Linked DNA regions of Ovis aries. The protein of the gene in region 1 interacts with the protein of each later gene in a pairwise test. Links are inferred from orthologs where the notes say so. Each region holds a gene or a part of one and is shown in the gene's direction. Other genes may lie near its edges. The genes, in order: GSK3B and BCL2L12.

Region 1 (4,519 bases):
GGCGCCCAGCCGTGCGGTTTCGCCAGCGACTCCGGGCTTCACTGTCCTTAACTCTTCAAGCTTTTCCTGAGGGCCAGCGACTCTGATTGGTCACTGCCGAATTTCTCCTCCAGCCAGCCACAGAACAAGGCGAACCCACCTTTTCCTCGGTCGGCTATCTTCGGCATTTTCCGTCCTTGGGCGTGAATTTCCAGCGACACTTTCTGATTGGCTCTTCAGGTCGATCGGCTTTTTCCGGGAGGATCCGCAAACAAACGACATCCGTGATTGGTTCCGCTCGGGTTTCGGCTCCCCTGTCGAAGGGGGCGGACGCCCCGCTCGGCCGGCGATTCCCAGACGCCTCTTACGCGGGCGGCGGGGCGCTGGGCGGTGTAAGGCTGGGTGGGGGAGGAAGGAGGCGGAGGACGAGTAGGAGGGGGGAGGGGGAGTGGGGAAGAGCTAGGCGGCTGCGCAGACGGCACTCCTCACAGAGAGCAGCCCCCGACCCGGGCGAATGCGGGCTCGTGCTGCTGCTGCTGCTGCTGCTGCTGCCGCCGCCGCCGCCGCCGCCCGGGCCGAGTGACAAAGGAAGGAAGGAAGGAAGCGAGGAGGAGCCGACCCCGCAGCCGCTGACAGGGCTCCGGACTGGGGGCAAAGCGCGGACACTTCCTGAGCGGGACTGTGCAGAAGCGAGGGGCGGGAGGGCGGCCGCGCTGGTGCCTTGGACGGGGGAGGGGGCCCCCGAGGGACGGAAGCGGTTGCCGGGTTCCCATGTCCCCGGCGTATGGGGAGCAGTCGAGGAGCCGCTGCCTGGGGTCTGAAGGGAGCTGCCTCCGCCGCCGCCGCCGCCATGGCCGCTGGATCCAGCCGCCGCCTGCAGCTGCTCCTGGCGCAATGAGGGGAAGAGCCGCCGCCACCGCCCGACTCTGACTGACTCGCGACTCCGCCGCCTTCCAGTTCGCCGGGCCCCCACCGTCAGCCCGCCGGATCCTTGCCGCTGCCGGAGCCGCAGCGTTTCCCGACGCATCTCCGAGCCACCCCTCCCTCTCCCTCCCTCCTTCCCATCCCCCCTTCTTTTCAAGCGTGAGACTCGTGATCCTTCCGCCGCTTCCCTTCTTCATTGACTCGGAAAAAAAATCCCCGAGGAAAATATAATATTCAGAGTACTTATTTTCAATCCAGTATTTGTCCCCGTTTCACGTGATATATATTTTTTAGGATCTCCCACCCATTTCTGCCCTCCAAGGAAAAGGAGGGGAAAGAATTGTAATTTTTTCCCAGCCCCGGATCGTCTATATGTTAAATATCCGTACTGATCTGTCTTCAAGGAGAAATACATCGCTCGCTTTTTTAAATAGCTGTACAAAAGGAGTGAAAAGGCAAGAGGACGAAGTCTTTTTCCTGTGGGAAAACTTAATGCTGCATTTATCATTAACCTAACACCCCAACATAAAACAAAAGGAAGAAAAGGAGGAAGGAAGGAAAAAAGGTGATTCGGTAAAAGAGTGATCATGTCAGGGCGGCCCAGAACCACCTCCTTTGCGGAGAGCTGCAAGCCAGTGCAGCAGCCTTCAGCTTTTGGCAGCATGAAAGTTAGCAGTGAGTATTGATTTTATTTTACACCCCTTCTCCACCTCCCCTTTGAATAAGAGACTTTGAAATACCAGGATCTTAAAATACGAGACCTGCTGATAAAACAGAGGTAATGGGAAAGGGCAAAAACCTGTCTTCAGTCAAGGATGAGGCAGCTTCCTTTTTTCCTCCTCCCATATCCCTTCTCCGGTCTCATTAACCTTGAATCGGGGGAATGGGATTTTTATTTAGATGATTCTGTCTGAAACTTAGTTCTTTTCTTACAGTTTTCTAGCAATTGATAGTCAGCTTTATTAAGTGGTTGAGTGTTTCCACCTTAAAATAGTGATGGAAGTGTTTACTTGCTCATCCTTTTGATTAAAGCGAAGGACAAGACTCATAAACCATTATGTGCTTTTCCAGAGTGTGTCTTTTGGAATGAGGGATAGTTTAGTTCGCTCAGGTCTCGAGGGTTACCATAGTTTTGTATACTTAATGGAAGAGGTGAATGTCACCGTCTCCTAACATTTCTTTCTTACTTGTGTGACTATACAAAGTGTTTGTTCTTAATCCAGAGATGAACTCGCTAAGTAACCACATTTCGGTTGGAAGGCGAGCTTTGATTTGTCTCTTTAGAAGGGACGGGTACCGCTGATAGATACTCAGTAGCAGTAGTATCTCAACATGCATTGTTCTAAATTGGATACGCGGTTTAATATGTTATCTCTTAACCTTACCGTTTTGACATTGCCAATCTACCACTATAGAGTTAATGTTTAATCAAAAGGTAACTTGAAAGTAGGTCCGAGTTTTGAATGGGGCTTATATTGTCATGTTGCTAAATAGTAAGTTGAATGTTAATTGTCACTGACTCATCATTAAAGTTCAGCTTTGGGGTGCCATTGCTTTCAGTACTTGCTAAATGATCTAGAGTTCAGATGTTCCTTCTTAGGACTGCTTACAATACTCTCGCATTGTTTTCCTTTCGAATTCAGATAAGGCTATGAAGTTAGAAGAATATGGATTTAGACTTTATCATCATAGGTTTTGCAGAAGGTTGTGGTCCCAGATTTAATAGAGGTATTTGGGCTTTGTTCAAGGCTGTTGCTAGACGTCTATACTCTCTTCCCAGATTTGTGCTCAAAAAGTCTATTTTGAGTGTTTGGTATACTAAGTATCCAGTGTTTTAACGTATCTCTAGTTATGGATATGTTTATGTGATATTTAATGTCAGTTTATTTAAATATACTTAAAGAATTCGACAAAAATATCTATTATAGTTTCCTTATTCCTTCAGAAAGGAGCATGAATGAGGGCAAAGAAAAACTTTTACTGCTTAGAAGAAGGAGAGAATTGAATTGAGATTTTTTTTAAAAAGGTATATGCTGTTATGTGAAATTGATTATAAAATGAACACTCTTACTTGAACTCAGGATTTCAGTTCATGGTGGCTTTTGGAACTTGTCTGAAACAGGGTAGTCTAAGGTAATAGCTGAATGGGAGATTATTTTTGAGAGTTAAATTTTTTTTTTGGTGACTAGCTAGTTCAGAATGCAGAGTATGTGAAGAGGGAAGCTGATGATGCATCTTTCAGGGAATGGTCAAGCTTTCTAAGCACTTCATGGGGTCATTTGAGAGGAATATTTTAAAATTCTGGGGTAATTTTCAGCTATGATGAAGCAAATCTTATAATAGCTCCTTAAGAGCCTCTTGTGGTACTGGAGTGTTAGGATGTTTTTCATCTTGGTTTAAAGACCACTTGAAATCAATTTTAGGTAATTAGTTTATTCAGAGAGCAGAATGGGATACCTAATAATATTAAATTTGGGGACTTTTCATTTAGTTCACAGGATTTTCTATGAATCCTTTGTGGATGTTGACTGAAGATGGAGTAACTCTTGCAAAGTGCAGGTGAAAATGTTGACTTTTCTGTTACCATATAGGTCAGCTTAACATTTAAAAGATTGGAGTTCAGTGTTGACTATGTGTTTTTGACAACCGTAACTTTAAATACATTTTGGAAGAAAGCCTTTGTTGGAATGCTGGTGTTCTAAGGGACCCCTGTTTAAGCGATAAGAAATTATAGTCCTTGCCTTGAAAAGCTTATCAGTTTTTGAGGCAGATTATGGGACAAAACGTGAAAACAGTAATATGATGACTGCAAGATTATAAATGCAAATAGAATACTTTGTTCAGAGGAACAAAAAATAAAGGCATGAGGTAGATGGCTTGGAGAGAAGACTTCTTACAGAGGTATGTTTTAAGGCAGGTGTTAAAGGAGGCAGTAACTTATATTGAGAAGCATAAAGGATTCTAGGTGGACAGAATGGACAGAGGCACAGAGATGGTGACTTTTGTATTTTTGTATTTATAAAGCAGGTTAGTAAATCTGAATAAAAGGGGCCTAAATAGGAAAATAAGAAGAGATGGAATTTGAGAAATATGTTAACTGATGGAAAGCAGAGGGGGCTTATGATTATGGTTGAGATTCAAGAGAGTTTGGAATTTACTATAGGTTGATGAACAAAATATTTGAAGATGGTTTGGGCAGCAAAGTTGATGAATTAGAAACCAGACGTCAGAGCCCTTTTAGGGAGTAGTAGAGTATGTTGTGAATAGTGAGGCAATATAAAGCAAAATTGAAAATCGGATGAAAAGAACACATTTGAGAGACAGCGTGAATGAACTGGTAGGACTTTGGATTGGATTGAAGGGGGGAGTATTTGGGAAGGAGTCAGGAGTTAAAAATAAATTCTGATGTTACTGGTCTGGAAGATTTGACCGCCAAGTTATATTGTTGATTGTAATGGGAAAGTTGAGAAAGTGCTGAGATGGGAGGATAGATGAGTTCACTTTTTAAAAATTTAATATTTAGATTTTCTTGAAATTCAGCAGACAGCAGTTGGTTACTGGCTATCGTATTTAACTTAACAGTCTGTTTATTGCACTGTCTCTAATTTTTCTATGT
Region 2 (2,481 bases), on another chromosome or scaffold:
CATGTGTTTGCCTTCCTTAGATAGGATAATCTTCAAGGTCCAAACACTCTTAAGTCCAGCTTGGGGAAGAGTACAAGGGGTTTTTTAATCAGGTTTGCTCATTGGTCTTCAGTTTACCCCACTCTGAAGTAGAAATCATTGCTACCTGGCAAGATGATTGGGAGGAGAGAACACCCAAGTTCCCGATGTTGGGTCCAAAGTTCCTAAAGACTCATCATTGGCTCTTTTCATTCCAGGCCCTGCTACCCCAGATTTCTATGCCCTGGTGGCCCAGCGGCTGGAACAGCTGGTCCAAGAGCAACTGAGATCCCCACCTAGTCCAGGTGAGGTGCAGAGGGACGCTGGAGAAAGATGCAGGTAGAAGGGTCACCAGGGTTCTGCCCCCAGCCAAATTCTCTTCTGCCTCCAGAATTACAGGGTCCCGCACCCACAGAGAAGGAAGCCCTGCTGCGAAAACTGGTGGCCTTGCTGGAAGAGGAGGCAGAAGTCATCAACCAGAAGGTGATGGGTGGTCTGTTCCCCCTTTAGCTAGGATAGGAATTGCAGCATGGTTCCACCCTGGGACCTGAAGCTGGATCTGCATTCTCACTGGATGGTCAGACAGGGAACAGTGGGACAAGGCTTCAGTGAAAGAGTGAGTGAAGGGTAAGCCAGGGCAATACCTTGAACTACTGCCTTTCATTGATCGCTAGAGGGGAGTGGCTTATAGGCAAAGGACTATGGCCACCAGAAACACCGTCTAAGAAAGAGATTGGGACCAGGTGAGGAAGTAAGGGAATGTATGGTGTGGGAAAGGGTGGGAGGTGTGGTTTGAAGCTGCTGATGCTGTTTAGTTGCTAAGTCGAGTCTGACTCTTTGCAACCCAATGGACTGTAACCCAAAGTCAGCTATTTAAAATCTGAAGACCTGATTGACTATATAGGGCTATGACTTAGAATGTAGGAGAAATGGACTGCCAGAGGGAGTGTGGCTTGTGGCTCTGTCCTGGAATCTAGTTGGCTCAGGAGCTTGGGCAAAGTGTACCGTCTTACTCATTGCATGGTAGAAGGCAAGGTTGCTGTAGACACTGGCTTGGTCTCTGGGTCTCTGGGAAGCCCACAGAAGTGTCGCTAGAATATTAGCAAGCTGCTGCTAAGTCACTTCAGTCGTGTTCGACTCTGTGCACCCCATAGACGGCAGCCCGCCAGGCTCCCCCGTCCCTGGGATTCTCCAGATAAGAACACTGGAGCGGGTTGCCATTTCCTTCTCCAATGCATGAAAGTGCAAAGTGAAAGTGAAGTCGCTCAGTCGTGTACGACTCTTAGCGACCCCATGGACTGCAGCCTTCCAGGCTCCTCCATCCATGCGATTTTCCAGGCAAGAGTACTGGAGTGGGGTGCCATTGCCTTCTCCATTAGCAAGCTAGAACACAGCTAGTATAGGGCTTGGCCCTGATTGGCTGTTGGGGCCTTGGCAGGGGCATGGCTTGGCTTTGCCAGTTTTCGGCCATCTTTCTGGTAGTAGCTTGGCTGAGACCTTATAGTCTAGTTTGTGATTGGGGGATGTGCCGGATAGGGGCGAGGCCTAGGGCGCCAATTATACCTAGAACTCGCTTGAAGCCACGCCTCCGGCTTCCTATTGGCTAGCTACGAGGGTGTGACTGAGGCTTACTTACCCTAGCTCTTCCCCTCCCTGTCCCACAGCTGGCTGCAGACCCAGCCTTGCAGCGCAAACTGGCGCGCCTCTCAGCCAGTTCCTTCAGCCGCCTAGTGGAGCTCTTCTCTAGCAGAGAGATCAGCCCTCGCCCAAGTCAAACATTACCGTGCCCTGGGCCTCCGCCACCTTCCCCGGAACCCCTGGCCCGCCTGGCCCTGGCTATGGAACTGAGTCGGCGAGTGGCGGGGCTGGGGGGCACGTTGGCCGGACTCAGTGTAGAGCATGTGCACAGCTTCGCGCCCTGGATCCAGGCCCACGGGGGCTGGGTGAGCCGCCAAAGCCTCTCTGGGCTTCTCTTTATCTAATTGTCGTTGTATGTGTGTGTATTGGGGGTGGGGTGGGGGGACGGGGGTGGGGTCTTAACCTTCCTTTCAGGCATCACGGGACCCCGCTTCCACCGTTTGTCCTTCTGTGTTTATTGAGCACCTCCTGTACACCAGGCACTGTCTTGATAACTGCAGATGCCCTACGCAGCTTTAACCACTCTGGTATACACAAAAAGTTATGTCAGAAACAAATTTCCTCATCTGTAAAGGCAGGAGAACTCTTAATACCTACCTCAAAGGGTTATTGTGAGGATTAAAATGGAATCATCCTTGTAGGTACTTGGTCTTTGTGGGATGACTGACTGTGCAGCGCTGCCAGCGGGAATGCCTTTTCCCCAATATCCCCCTTCCTTGCTTCCTCTGCCCACTTGCTCAGGTATCACCCCCAGTGAGGCCTTCCCTGGTCTTCATTTAAAGTCGCAGTGACCCCCACACCCTTCCACCTTAACATGCTTGCTCA

What was found.
Region 2: the proteins of GSK3B (region 1) and BCL2L12 interact in a two-hybrid assay, tested with the Homo sapiens proteins (2 studies listed by BioGRID and IntAct). The link is inferred for Ovis aries from reciprocal best matches to the Homo sapiens genes GSK3B and BCL2L12.

What each region holds. Positions count from the first base shown.
Region 1 is NC_056054.1:185,712,552-185,717,070, reverse strand, and holds the start of GSK3B (glycogen synthase kinase-3 beta), read left to right. Parts: upstream 1-1,490; coding exon 1,491-1,578; intron 1,579-4,519. UniProt on the Homo sapiens protein: Constitutively active protein kinase that acts as a negative regulator in the hormonal control of glucose homeostasis, Wnt signaling and regulation of transcription factors and microtubules, by phosphorylating and inactivating glycogen synthase (GYS1 or GYS2), EIF2B, CTNNB1/beta-catenin, APC, AXIN1, DPYSL2/CRMP2, JUN, NFATC1/NFATC, MAPT/TAU and MACF1.
Region 2 is NC_056067.1:55,803,200-55,805,680, forward strand, and holds part of BCL2L12 (bcl-2-like protein 12), read left to right. Parts: intron 1-236; coding exon 237-323; intron 324-409; coding exon 410-501; intron 502-1,682; coding exon 1,683-1,961; coding exon of another isoform or gene 1,962-2,000; exon of another isoform or gene 2,001-2,481.